Oreochromis niloticus: one gene and its partner. The protein of the gene in region 1 binds, or shares a complex with, the protein of each later gene. Links are inferred from orthologs where the notes say so. Each region holds a gene or a part of one and is shown in the gene's direction. Other genes may lie near its edges.

Evidence for each region. The genes of interacting proteins can lie anywhere in the genome.
Region 2: vps39 (region 1) and vps41 share a complex: the UniProt entries of both Homo sapiens proteins name them as parts of the homotypic fusion and vacuole protein sorting (HOPS) complex. The link is inferred for Oreochromis niloticus from reciprocal best matches to the Homo sapiens genes VPS39 and VPS41.

The regions. Positions count from the first base shown.
Region 1 is NC_031983.2:21,376,319-21,383,155, forward strand, and holds the start of vps39 (vam6/Vps39-like protein), read left to right. Parts: upstream 1-3,826; 5' UTR 3,827-4,319; coding exon 4,320-4,392; intron 4,393-4,595; coding exon 4,596-4,661; intron 4,662-4,781; coding exon 4,782-4,846; intron 4,847-4,963; coding exon 4,964-5,006; intron 5,007-5,155; coding exon 5,156-5,250; intron 5,251-6,383; coding exon 6,384-6,482; intron 6,483-6,590; coding exon 6,591-6,683; intron 6,684-6,837. Other genes in the region: transmembrane protein 87A, read left to right, coding at 119-177, 270-373, 472-548, 1,176-1,240, 1,322-1,374, 1,598-1,628, 1,759-1,800. UniProt on the Homo sapiens protein: Regulator of TGF-beta/activin signaling, inhibiting SMAD3- and activating SMAD2-dependent transcription.
Region 2 is NC_031974.2:15,254,960-15,262,659, forward strand, and holds the start of vps41 (vacuolar protein sorting-associated protein 41 homolog), read left to right. Parts: upstream 1-4,687; 5' UTR 4,688-4,858; coding exon 4,859-4,879; intron 4,880-5,165; coding exon 5,166-5,204; intron 5,205-7,700. Other genes in the region: pou6f2 (POU domain, class 6, transcription factor 2), read right to left, coding at 2,659-2,756, 4,564-4,611. UniProt on the Homo sapiens protein: Plays a role in vesicle-mediated protein trafficking to lysosomal compartments including the endocytic membrane transport and autophagic pathways. Acts as a component of the HOPS endosomal tethering complex.

The DNA.
Region 1 (6,837 bases):
ATGCTGTGGCTAGAATTACCTTCAGGTCAGTTTGTTGTTTGTGTGCTGTAGTTTCTGCGAAACACGTGTATTTTGTTTGCAGTCATCAAAATCCTTGGTGTTTATTTTGTGTCCACAGCTTCTATCATATTTATCATCTGGACCACCAAGGTCTTCAAGTTGGTCGACTGTCAGAGGGTCAGTTTGTTTTCTCTTTTGGCTGAGTTATATTTATCTTGTACTGGATTTCACTGCTTTTCCTCTGAAATCTGTCCTTGTCCTTTCTGCAGGGTTGGAGGGACTTGTGGGTAGATGATGCGTTCTGGCGCCTGCTCTTCTCCACTATTCTTCTGGTCATCATGGTGCTGCTGCGGCCCTCAGCCAACAATCAGAGGTCAGCGTCAGTATGGAGTTTGGGCCAAAGTACCTTTGTGTAAGCTCGTGGTTAACACGATTCATAAAGATTTCAACCTATGTGGTGTTTCCTTTCAGGTTCTCCCATTCCCCTCTGATTGATGATGATGATGAAGAGGACGAAGCAAAGGAGCCCATGCTGAACGAAGCTTTTGGTACGACATTTCACTCCTCTTGTCATTTAAAGCCCCAGACAAGTATTTGCCATATTAAACAGTGTTTGAAAAAGACACTGATTGCTCATTTGTGTTACATAGTTAAGTTGCTTAGAAAAATTTTGATTTTATTTAACTCTAGTGCTGTGTGTTGGGAGAAAAGGTAAAACAGCTTTTGATAAGCTTGGTTGTGTAAAACAGTATTAGTTGCCATAACATGTAGTTCTAGTCTCCTGCCGGCTTGTCATCTTGTGCCATATCACATGCCAGCTGATTCTTTAAATTTTGATCAGTTTTGTTTAGGTTCCACTAACAGGATGGTTTTTCTCTTATAGTAACAGTGTTTAAGTGTAGAATTCAGGACAGTGAGCTAGTATAACACAAAGATATAAAACGACAGAGGTCACAGAAATGTTTTCAAGTGGTTTGTATCTTCTGTTGTATGCTCTAATAATCCCAAATAATCACAATTTTCCTCACATCCTTTACTGACAACCTTCTGTCTGAGCTTTTGTTTAACCCAGTGACACATTCTCAGTCTGTTTGTATAGGCGTTAATTGATAAATTTATAATCATTTAATAGTGTCAGAGTAAATGATTTCAGCTGCCTTTTCTTGATTTTTCAGAGGGAATGAAGATGAGAGGCGCGAAACCTGACATTAACGGCTCCCAGAAAATGTTGAGTAAAGAGGTAGGCTGACTTCTGACATTTTCTCTTCTGCATTATTGCCATGTTTACTTAATTCTGTGTTTCAAAACTGCTTTTTGTCAGGATGAAGATCTAAAATGGGTTGAGGAGAACATTCCTACTACTGTTGCTGATGTGTAAGTAAACCTTTATTTTGGTGAAAAACTGCTACACTAAATGAAATTTGGATGGAAATATGGCGATGACTTTAAAGAGGAAGTTTTTTACGGGCAGCCCAGGATAGAAAAGTACTATATTGTTGTTATTCAAGCCATATTCATAGTGTTTGACTTACTCCTGATGTGCGTGGTATATCCGTGACCTCTTTCTCTGTTTTTTTTCTTTCCCCCCTCCATACAGAGCTCTCCCTGTAATGCTAGATGAGGAAGAAGTAAGGAGCCTTTTTACTTTACACATGCGAGTCCCATGATTCTACTCACACTTTAATCTATTTAAAGTCCTGACCTTTCACTGTGTCATCATTTAACAACCACACTGCTGTTTTTTGCTTTTTTTCCCAGGAAATCCTGAAAACCAAGATGGAGAGGTCCAAAATGGAGTAGAAGACGATCTGAGAATGAAAATAGAGGAATTCAACTGAGGCAGCAATGAGTGATCTGATTACCAAAAATGTTGGGGGGATGGATATCTGTTCTTTCTTCAGACACTTTTTAACAAAACTTTTATTTCACAGGTTTTTGGGTAACACTATAATAAACTCTTATATTAACGCCATACTGTGCAACCTGAAGTGACTGGGTCGGCTGCTGATGGCATTCTGGGATTATTCTGGGATAAAATACAAGAAGCAGTTATATAGTATAGCATTTATATTTATAACTATTTTATTTGTTGAACAAAATGAAGGAGAAGCAGAAATGTTCTGTTTCTGTTTTTTTTTTTTTTTTTTTTAGGACTATTATAATTATTTAATGAAACATGTGATATCCAGTGCAAGGGATAGATGATCAAAATATTTGACAAAAGCTCCACCCACTTCAGACTGCACAGATAACTCCTGACGGGTCAGAGTTGTAGGAATGTGAGGTCCTTTTTGGAACACAGTCAGGTATGACTCGTGATGCCTGGCCATCATCACAGCCAAGATATCGGATGATGCTACAAACGGAAGATAATGAATAACTGAAAAGATCAAAGTAGTTTCATAATAGGATTATATTTAAGACATTGTAGCATCTTAATGAACAATAGCTTATCTTCAGTGCTGTGCCATATATATTAAAAAGATACTTTGTTACATTACATATTTATTTGATCACACGATTTAATATTTAAATGTGCAAGTAACTCTATTGTACAATTAGCCATTTAGCCAGACAGCTAAAAGCAAATGTTTTAATGCTTAACCAACAAATATGTGTGTTTAATTGTTAACACATTATTACTGTAGTGTCTGGCTAACTGGGTCATTTTGAATATCAAAATAGTTAAGCCACTGTTAACATCTGTCATGTTGATACTTGAAGGATATCACCGTCGTCCAGAAAATAAGCCACATCTGCTGATCTGGGAACATTTAATGATAGTTATGGAGCTATATCAATGCAAAGAATTAACTGTCATAAAACCGTGTGAGGCGTGTTCATTTTGTAGACACATGCAGATCATTTCTTCAGGATGTCATCCACACACTGATCAGTTTAAGCGAGTTCAAATTTGACTATATTTAATTGGTTGATAAGCGTAGAAAAAGTAAAAGAAAATCCTGTTTGTAAGCATTAGTAGTAAAATTAAGCCTGCTTTATTTTAATTTTTATGAAAAGTAACGTTTTTTTATAGTTTTGATTTCATATAATAGATCTAGAAACACTAGATATTGCAGTCACCAAAGTGAACACTTTTTTCTAGCCACTGAATAACGAACCTGAATAGCTGAAAAATATACATGTAATTTAGTGTGTCTATAAAATGTGCTCTCCGACGCCCTCCACCAACAGGTCCGGAGTTTTATTTAGGTTCTCTGTTGACTTTAGTAGCACAGGGGAGTATCAGTTCACCATTATTACAGATTTCTCTGACCCTTTCCCAGCTACGCTCAAAAATAGCCTTATCTGAAATAATTCCTCATACTTGTTTGATCTACTGCAGTATATGTGGATAATTTTAAAGCTCTGAACTATGTTTGTTTTTTGTTTTTGTTTTTTTTCTATTTGTCTAAATCTTGTTGACAATATTTTATTTCAGAGAGACACTAAAACCCTGTGTCTGGATTTGAGTCTGCATTGTATTGTGAAGCTGATAATATTGTATGGCTTTTTGCGTATGTCCTGCAAATAAATTTCTATTGAAAGATGGTTAAAACGTAAGTTTTGTATAAACTTAGAATTATTTTGTTTTTCTAAAAGACATGTTTAAATATATATCACAATTACAATATTTAAACGCGTTCTTTTCTAGAATATTTTATTTAAAAAACAAGTGGGAGTGTCCTTTAAATCCTGGAAATCTAAATTTATAAAATATTTAAGTATTTGTGTCATAAATACTGATTTTCTTTTGGTACGAAACCTCGGTGCAAAATAACCGTTCAACTCACCGTTTAATACAAGCCACTGCGCCTTTAATGCGTTCCTCGTGAGCTCACATACTTCAGTCACGTGCCTGTCAAACCCCAGCAGCTCGCGCAGCCGTGTTCAAAACAACTAAGGAAGTAGCAGGAAGCTACATGGCTAACGAAAACTAATTGCTGTGGTTTATATAGCGTTTGTGGTTAAACGTTTTAGGTTAATTGCAGTTGCGCTGGTCGTTAACTTACAGTCTTCGCTCAGATTTCAGTTGCAGTGAGAGGGAACCGATAGTTGCTCACTTCTTAGCTTAAAGGCTAACGATCAGCTGTTGTTTTGGTCAGGGAGGAAGGTGGCTAACAAGCCAAACTGCATTGCATTACCAAATCAGTTCTCCGTATTGGCTATTCCGAAAAAGCAAAACTGAACTGTGTTAGTTTATGGCGACATGTAAAGCTGTACCCCCTGACAGATTTATCAGCGATTAGGCGTCAGCCCCGTGTGGGATTGATATATCAGAGGGGTGTGTGAGATTGAATTAGCAGCATTGCTTCAAGATGCACGACGCATATGAGCCTGTACCTATTCTGGAAAAGCTTCCTCTTCAAATTGACTGCCTTGCGGCCTGGGGTGAGTTGTTAACACTTTGGTCCCACGGTTACTCTTTAATTTTGTGACACTGAAATAGTACCCCTGTTTATCGAACTGCAGTCTTAAGTTGTCAAGAAGTCATGAGTTTTTTCACCACTGAACGCAGGTAACATCTCAGACTTATGTGAAAATGTTATGTCTGAAATTAACTGACCGCATCTTTTGTACCGACTTCCTTACAGAGGACTGGCTGCTTGTAGGAACAAAACCAGGCCATCTCCTTCTGTACCGAATAAAGAAGGATGCAGGTATGGGGACCAAAGGGGATGTGGTTCCTTATCCATTTGGAGACCGGTTTACCTTTCTGTTGCACGCTTCAAATACCAGTTTAAGTAATTCTGATGAACACATTTCTTTTTTTATCTTAGGAGGCAACCGGTTTGAGGTCACACTGGAAAAATCCAACAAGAACTTCTCAAAGAAGATTCAGCAGGTATCTGACTTTTTTAGTCGCTTAACCGCAAATTTAGATCTTAATTAAAATTGTTTGCCTCTGTTTGTTGACCAGCTTATGTGTGTTTATCTCTTTAACTGTGTTTTTTTTCTCCAGCTTTATGTTGTCTCACAGTACAAAATTCTTGTCAGTCTCCTGGGTAAGTTTCTCTCAGCAATATATTTTTACAGAGTTAAAATGTCATGTAAAGCAAAAATTGGGGGAACCTTGGGCTTGTAAAGGCTTCAAACTAATATCAGTTCTTGATTATCATGACAACTAAACAAACCGATTTAAATATCCCCACAGAGAACAACATCCATGTCCATGACCTCCTGACCTTCCAGCAGATCACTGTGGTATCCAAAGCCAAAGGAGCCACACTCTTTGCATGTGACTTGCAGGTCAGTAATAGACCCCTGTTTTCTGCAACTCAGCATGTGGTAAGAGAGGGAAGATAAGACCTATAAGCTGTCAATTTTCCCCAGTGGTGACTTGTGGTATTGCATTTAAAAAAAAAACTGGACTATAATTCTAGAACAGAGGCAGACAGGACTTCCAGCTTCAAACAGGATTAGGTTCTTCTCTTTAAAAAAAAAAAAAAAAAAAAACATTTGAGGTTTTTCCCATGATGTCTTAACTATGTGGACAACAGAGCAGCAACCTCCTAGGGAAATGTAGGGGGCTAAAGCAGAATAAAGACTTGGAAGCTAGTCTTTAACCTTTTTTGGTCTTGCAGTCAAACACGTTTTTTGTTGATGTGAGCTGGTGGTTTCTTTTAGTCCGGTATCCAGTTCTCCTTCTAGTAGTGGTATTGTTACTGCAGTCATATTCATGCACACATTGCTTCCCATTACAAATGAAAGTGAAAACAGTTTTCACCTGAATAGTTGTGTATACTGATAGACATACAGCTGCAAGTTTGTGAACCGTTTAAGACAAAAGTGAACTAAATTCTAAGTCTGGAGTTATTTGTGGCTGGGGAAATTAGAGTATAATGGCTTACAAGCAAAACAAAATCAAACTAAACATGCCTCGACCATTCATCCTACTTCTCACTGTTTTTAGTAGCCTTTTGAATGTTTTTTCACACAACTCACAAACTTTACAGAAGCAAATCGAGGACCAAGGTAATTATAATCCTCTGGATTTCATTGCCTTTCATCTGATGGCATCAATACGGGAAGTAAATCTGAGGTTTACCATGGTGCTGCTTACTAACATGACATTTTAAATTTCAATTTCTCTTTCAACACTTAACAACAGAAAAAAAGCAATGTGATTTCTTAGTTCAAGTCTGCGTGTGTCATCTGATTTAAGACAACAGTGGGTGTCTTGAAAACAGTAAAGTATCATACATATGGAGAAGTGACATGAACACAATTTGTATTTAATTGTGCTAAATATGTAAAAACCCTGAACATTTTCTTAGTTTTTTTTATACAGTAGCTGCAATATTTTGTCTTGTTTGTTCATCTGTGCTGGACACACATTTAGCCTCACATTTCCTCTCACGAAGTGTATATTTTGTCCTCAGCAAACCAGCTCAGGGGAGGAACAGCTGAGAATGTGTGTTGCAGTGAAAAAGAAACTCCAGCTGTATTACTGGAAGGACAGAGAGTTTCATGAGCTGCAGGTAATGTATACTGGACATGTGACTCACTATAGTGTGATTCAAGTTTAACAGTATTTTCCAGTGCTTTGACACATTTAGCCACTTTAATGTTTTCGTTTCGTCTGTCAGGGGGACTTTGCTGCACCAGATATTCCAAAGTCAATGGCTTGGTGTGAAAACTCGATATGTGTTGGTTTCAAGAGAGACTATTACCTCATTCGGGTATGTGTTACAGAAAAGGGGTGCAAGCAGCTTCTTTACTTTTCAACTTATGCGCTTATGCGTTTATAACTTAAAATGATATTTCCAGCCATAATGTGTCTTTTTAAGTGTGGAAAAACTCCTTGTCAAAAGAAAAGAAATATCCACAGAAACC
Region 2 (7,700 bases), on another chromosome or scaffold:
TGGTAGTTTTAAAGTATACCAAATTATATGTGACTCCAAAACCGCATTACTTTCTTATCAACAGGGGGAAAAAGCAACAAATGAAGATGTTTCAGAAACAGAAATAGTGTAAAATTAAAACTGAACAAAAAGATGTTACATAGTTACTATGTAACGACATAAACAAAGGTAGAAAGTCCATTTGAAAAGCAGCTGTTCTAGTTTGATTAGTTCAGCAAAAATTTGCTGATCAGACTTTTTAAATGTAAGAATTTTATCCTTTTGTTTGCTATACACAGATTGTGAGACATTTCAAATGTTCAACATGTGCATGTATTCAAAAAGCTAGAGGTCACCACAGCAGGTAGCTCCTTTTTACGCCGGATGCTCTTCCTGTCACAACCCCAAAGAGGTTTGTGTCTCCTCCTGGGATCAAACTGGGTCTCTTTCACTTATTAGGTGAACGTGTAATATACCCCACTGTGGGACCACTCAGTATTTCCTTGCAATTAATGATTATTTTAATATTAAAGGAAATAATTTAGAGATATTAGAGATAAACTGATAATGAAAATGATCATTAGTGGCAGCCATATGTCCCAAAACAAACTTTTCTCTCACAAAACCAGCCTTATGAAGTGAGACTGAAATTAAATAATGAAATATTCTGTAATCTTCTGAAGCTCCTTTGTTTTTTTTAAAGTTGCATTGTGGAAGAAAAGTGCAAAAGAACCACACAGTCTGCTGAATCTTTAACAACTATGGTTAATTTTGTACATATATAAATATTTAACCTCCTGAGACCCAAGCTCTTGTTTGGGATGCATTTTTAATTTCTCCTAGTTATTTGGGATTAGTCGAACCAGAAAAGTATAAAATCTAAATATTATGTTTGAACAATGGGCACACACTACTTAACAAATTATAAAACAGTTTATTGAGCAGCATTACGAAGAATATTCAAGAGGTTAAAACATGTTTAGAGTAAGTATTAGGTGTGGAATTAAAGCACAGTTCAATAGCTTCAAATGATCTCCAACATACTGGAGACATATGTAGGGTGATTTCAACCTGGGACAGGCTGCAGCACACCAGCCTGCTCTGAAAAACGCACGACAGAATGAGGTTTATAATCTACCCGAAAGACAAAATTCTCTTTCATGCTTTCTTTGTCCTTAAACATTAATGTAACGTCAAACCATCAGCTCGCTCTGTCAGTTAACATGACTTTCCGAGGTGACAAATGTTCTCCGTTCTCTGAGAAATCACACACAACAGCTTCATTTGCTGCTATGACTGACCTAAAAGGCACGTAAATACTTTAATTATCTGATTTTTTTGGGACCTGAAATGACCTGTGTAATGCAAACAGACACATACGCTGAGATTAATAACACCTGATATCAGCAATTATTCATTTGCTTTAAGATTAAAATAAGGTTTCTTTAACATTTTGTAAATCATTTTATTTTCCACCTTAAATGAAACATATGTCTACATAGAAATAATGTATCAACACTTTTTGAAGCAATCATTATATATTTTATGAATATGTGGATGCGCTGTGATGACCGAGCATACGGAGATGTGTAATGTGGTTTGTTAGGTGATGATTTGTCTCCCCCTTAGGGTTATTAACCAAACTGTTCTTCTGTCTATGCTTCCACTTCATGCCTTTGTGCATCTAAATCTCAACAAGTGCTGTTAATAGTGTTAAATTACTCTTGGAAAAATGCAGCCAATTTGTATTATTTTATCTGCAGCTGATCTAACAGACTGTTATTGGGACTCGTGGGGTCAGGGGTGTAAATATCCGAGACTTGAGATGATTTTTCTTTTCACGCTCGTTAATATGATCAACAGTTATCCCTCTCTCCTCCACTAAAGCTAAAACGCTCCCCAGCGGACGGTCGGCGGGTCAGTGAAGGCTGAGGGCTATCAAAGCAGTGTATTAAAAGGAGCTCTTTGAAGCTTGTAAACCACGGTGCCCAGCAGGTCCACAACAGATAGACGCCTCTGATTGGTCAGGTGTGTGTGTGTGTGTGTGTGTTTTCTGCTGGATCGATCCACCGAGCTGACATTCTGGAGCATCAAAGCTTTCGGTGCACTAATCTGACTCCTCCTATGAGGGCGAGGGTTGTTTTTATTATTTTCCTTTTTTGTCCATGAGGTGCTTAAACTTTAGACGGGGCTCTTGCATGTTTATGATGGGAGAGCGGGCAAAGCATATGTTTTGGAGGTTTGAAAGGGAATGAAAACAAATCAAGCTTGGATACTGTATTTATCGAGCGATAAATAATGCAAAACTATAGAGAGAGAGATGGAGAGAGAAGCAGAGAATCACAGGGCCATCCGTTGGGCGTACCACTGGCAGCAGCAGAGGAGCGACACCGCAGAGATTCACACACTGCTGCTCCTCAAAGTCAGTTTCCCCTCACACTGTCTCTGGAGACCTGCGCCACATACACACTCATGAAAGGTGTGAAAATCTGATTTCCCAAAAAGGATCGGTAATTCTCTGTGAGGGTGGAAGCCGCAATCAATAAATCATTGCTAAGCAGATTGTAAAGAAAAAAAAAATTATTCCCCCTTGGTATCAGTGCATTAGGATTCTCCTGAGGATGGATGAGGCAAGACAGGGGTGTGAGACAATCTCAATAAAGAAGAGGCAAATCATACCTTTGGCATTCATCTGGACTCAGGCAAGCAGCTGTCAGCAGAGTGACGGAGGACCAGGCGAGTCGACCAATATCCGAAGCCACCATGTTCAGAGAAGTCTGCAAATATATAAAACAAATAGCCTAATTATTACTGGAAGTCTTGCTGACTGTGTTTGCTTTATTAGTGAATGCACAGGGATTTCCTTTATTAAGGCAGGCATAGGAGACAACCTCAGAAAAGTACTGTACTTTTAATTTTATATTAATCTACCACAGATTTTACCTCAAAAAGGGGCACAATAAATACTTTTAGCTGCTATTTCTCATCATAATAATGCACAATCTGGATGCCATTACTGCTTATTACCAAGTGGACAAAGTATTCATATTCTTTACCATCAAGAGTAAAGATGCATCCAAATACATATTTAGCTTCTTTCCTACAGCTGTAACACTGCTAAACACCATGTGACAGTAATTATGTACAACCCTCATGTGCAATATTCCACTACCCAATTCCACATCCCATAACTCGGGACATACCTCACTGTGTACATTTTATAATATGTAAAATAACTCATGTAAAGTGCACTTTTTTTTACTGCTCAGCTTCACACAATTACAACCCTCAGGCATATACATTACACAGACAGATGCACAGCCTGTAAATAAATAACTCATGTTCAGTCCAACCGTGCAATATTAAGTCCCAATACTTTTTACTCTTTAATGCTTGTCAGTAAATATTGTATTTTATATTTATATTATGTCAGTACATTTATTTTATCTAAGGTTTTTTCACCATCTGAGCAAGTATTACCTGATTTCATTATGTTTGCTTAATGATAATAAAGTGTCTTGAATCTTCAATACAGTCTTGGCAGTAAAATTTAAAGTATCAAAAATATAATTTAATATTCTTCTGAAACCAGGGGACTCAAACAATAGCTGAAGGGTTAATTTAGCCACCACGTTCAGAAAAATCTGCACATATTTAAATCGAATAGTCTTAATCATTTCAGTTAGTGATAGCTCCAAATGTACTGGAAAGAGGATTGTCTGTCCCGTTTTATTCAAATTGTCTCAATTAAGACAAAGAGAGATTGTGAATGAATTTAAAGTCCTGTAAGTTATCATTTTGAGATTATAGATTCAATTAGTGCTCAATTATTTGAAGAAAATTTTGTGTATTTTACCTCACATTCTACTGTATATCTGGCTAGTGGCAGTAAATAATCAATATAAAAGGGGACAATGTGTACAGTAAATACTGTTGCCTAATAATTCTTGTAATAATACTCATGATTACTTCAGAGCCATTACTTTTGTAAAAACTACTTAATTATAAGTAATAGTATTGATGGACTTTAAGCAAAAGTAGCATGTTTATGCTGTTTGGAACCGTTTTGAACTATTTTTAATATTTACTATAAATGATATAAATTTCTCCTCTAGGGAAAAACTACAGTATTTGCCACTGATATGTTACAGACAATTAATATAAAATACAACAAATTAAAATACTCAGCTGTATACAAGGGGGTGGATTTAGTTGGCTCCTTTTAGCCACTTATTTGAATACCTTTTAATGACAGCAGAAATCAGCCTTTTTATCATCCCCTTGGGGACAGTTTGGAGGACTTTTAGTCCAGGTTAATTTATTGTATCTGGCGACCGTTCAAATTTTTAAGGTTGGTCTATTAATGTTGTCAGTGAAGATGTGCTTTATGGTTATACCTAGCTTTACTGCGGGTTATTTGGCTGCAGTTTCAAGACTGTTAGCTTCAACTGAAAAAAAGACATTTTCTTCACAAGTTTTCCGTCTGACACTTAAGAAAAGAGACACTTGGATTGTTAAAACCGAGTAAAACTTGCTACAAGTATTTGCCACGAAAACCACGAAAAACACATTATAAACTGTCACCTGGCATCGTTTTTCAAGTAATCGTCTCCTTTTATTCTGTCTGAGCATCCGCGTTGTCGTTTCTCTATCTGAATGACTTCATTACCCATAACGCCTTGATACTCGAATTGAAGTCATGTGATTTAGCTCATGACTGGAAGCAGGTTTCGACAACAAATATCACTTTGCTGTCACGCAAAATCGGGTGTTTCTGAGATGAAACAAACCTTTATCGGAGATTTAACGGATATTTTTTAAAATATTTGTTAAAGTATTATAGCTGTTACCTTTGGATATATCGCTAAATAATATCACAATGGCGGAAGTGGAGGAGCAGGTAAGCTCAAATGCTAACGCTAGCTAGCTAAATGTTTCTGTTTTAAACGCACTTGCATCAAAAATGCATTCAAAGTGTGGCTGTGAGAGCTGTCAGCTGTGGTTTCATTTGATTTAGCTTCTCATCAAGCCATTCTCTAGCTTGGAAAGCTAACATTTTAGGTGCTAATTTAGCTTTGCAGTTGTTTGGTATGTATTTAATGTCTAAATAAATAGCCATGGCCTTTGAAACCATGCTTTAACATTAATATATTTTTAAAAGCAACCCAACATTTTTCTGCTTTTAGGTCAGTCATCCAAGTGAGGAAACCACAGATGAGTCTGAGGTAAGAATCAAAAATACCTCATCATTTTAGATCATCTAAGATGAATTTATATTAAGAAATTTTGATATATATTTAGAAAATAATAACAGGAAAAAATGGACTTGAATGTGTCATGCAGTTGCACCAGTATGTCAGTGTAGACATGCATCACCAATAATATACTGTCAGTGACAGAAGTGTTCATATTTCCGTCAGGTTTGGATGCTTTTTGAAATCTCTGCCTACTGAAGGGGCTGTAATACATAACATAGCCTTTATCAGCACAGCTTGATCCCTAAAGGATCTTTGTCAGGTTCTGAGAGGTGTCAAACACTCATGAATTACATATAGCTTTCCAGATCCATCAATATTATGACTGAACTCTGGCATGTTACAGTACACCTGTGCTTCGGAGGATCTCACATGGGCTGAATAAAATATAACATTACACATCACGCTGACAGGAAGGAGAATTTTTCTTCATAGGTAGCAGAGGATGGAATCATATATAAGATATATGCTGCATTTTGGACACCTGCACCTTTCTCAAGCTACTTTTTTTTTTCTCAAGAAAATAAACCAGACTTGTAAATAGTGGTCTGTCTGTGCACCATGTGTTCAGTAGTCATGGACAAACACTCACTGGACTGTGGGATTGCAAGTCTCCTCTGAGTGGCTGCTGCAAACAGGTGATTATTTGCTTACAATATTGCAATATACTGTAGCTGGCTGCTGTTGTTACCAGCTTGACAGCAGCCTCGCTAGATGAAGGCAGCGAGGGGCTGTTTGCTCTACACTCTACTAACAGAAGAGATGAGCAGGGTAACAATTTGTCTGAGCAGTGGCTCTGGAAAGTCACAGGCATTCTCTTCATCAACGTCATGATTTGGTTAGATTAGTCTGATTTGTAATAACATAATACAATAATAAGCCTGATTTGTAAGTGCTTTTTAGTATGCTCAGCGGATCAAACCCTTAAAACGATAGATTTAAGCGACATATTAGTCGACTGATTGCACCAATTTCCCCCTCTTTCTGCCTCAAACAAACTAACATGGTTAGATTTAACAGCTACAGCGTTCCCCTTAAAAGCAGACAAATGGGCGAGTCTTGCTTGAACCTTGAACATTAAGCTAGATGATGACACGAGGAGTCTCATTTAGCTCAGCTGTCAGTAGATGGAGAATATGGCAAAAATGGTTACAAATCAAAAGAAACCCCAGCAGCTGACAAACGAAAGGGTGAGTTCCATAAAAGCCTGTCAAAAAATGTACTTTTGTGGTCCCGAAAAGCACATAAAAGGTAGAGAATGAAGGGTAATAAATGGAAGAAAAGACATCATGCATTGTATTTTTAGCAACTTGCTGGACCACTATAAGGCTCTAAGTGCTCTACATGATTCTGCCACTCCTTTAGAAGCAAATGAAATGGTTTAATGCATATTTTAGCTTAGCTTAGTTTAGTTTTATTCAGTCATCACATATTGCACAGACAGTGTAAACAGCACACAATAAATCAGGATCTCTGCACCATGTAGTGACTGAACAGAATCAGGCAGAAGCAACGCATCTGTAAGCCTAGACTGCGGTCTTTTAATTCCAGAATTAATGGGAACAACATAATCGTTCACACTCTCAAGTGTCAATAATTTATGATGTCTTTGTGCTACTGTTTGGAAAAGAAAAAGCAAATTAATTAAATTCATTTTAGCAATTTTCTATAATTTAACCTCAACACTAGAAGTTCACTTTGAGTACCAAAATCTAAAAGCTAATTTGTTAAACAGCATTATGGACACACTTTAATTTTATGGACTAAGGACCAAGCTGATGTCAGCTGGGAAAACAGTTTAAGCAAAGTTTTTATAGCATGTTATATGCTGGTTTCATAAACGTAGGTCTTTGAACATGACCCATGCAAATCAGGAGTTTGGTGTGAGTGCCACCACCATGCGTGCTAGGATTGAAATTCATAAATGCAATTAAGTTAAATATAGCTGTTGATAACAGCATCAAGACAGCCACTGTTAATATACTGCAGGTTGCAAGACCGACAGGAAATGATGGTGTATGAATTTGACAAGTCTATTACTGAATTTGGGATCCTGGGAAGTATAAAGCTGCCACTAATGCTATGATCAGGATAAAGGTATGATCTCCAGTTATTTGAAAACAAGAACAGTCCTGCAAAAAAATGGACAAAGCAAAGTTAGAAAACATTGGTTTCAGAGCTGTAAAGAAATGGCTTTAATTCAAACCAAGTGGACTGAAACAAGCAAATATAATGATGGGAAAAAAAATGATTACCAGACTCCTGATTTTGTTGCAAGCACTGAAACATACAAGGTTTCCTTAACTAGGGTATATGATAATGTTAACTTTGTGTATTTTATCCTGTACATGCCCAGGTGTGACATGTATAGCTCAGTAGTTTGTGTCTAAATGCTACGTTTCTGAATGCCATAATCCATCAGAGATCATATTTTTAATTGTAAATTGATAGTTGATATATGGCAGT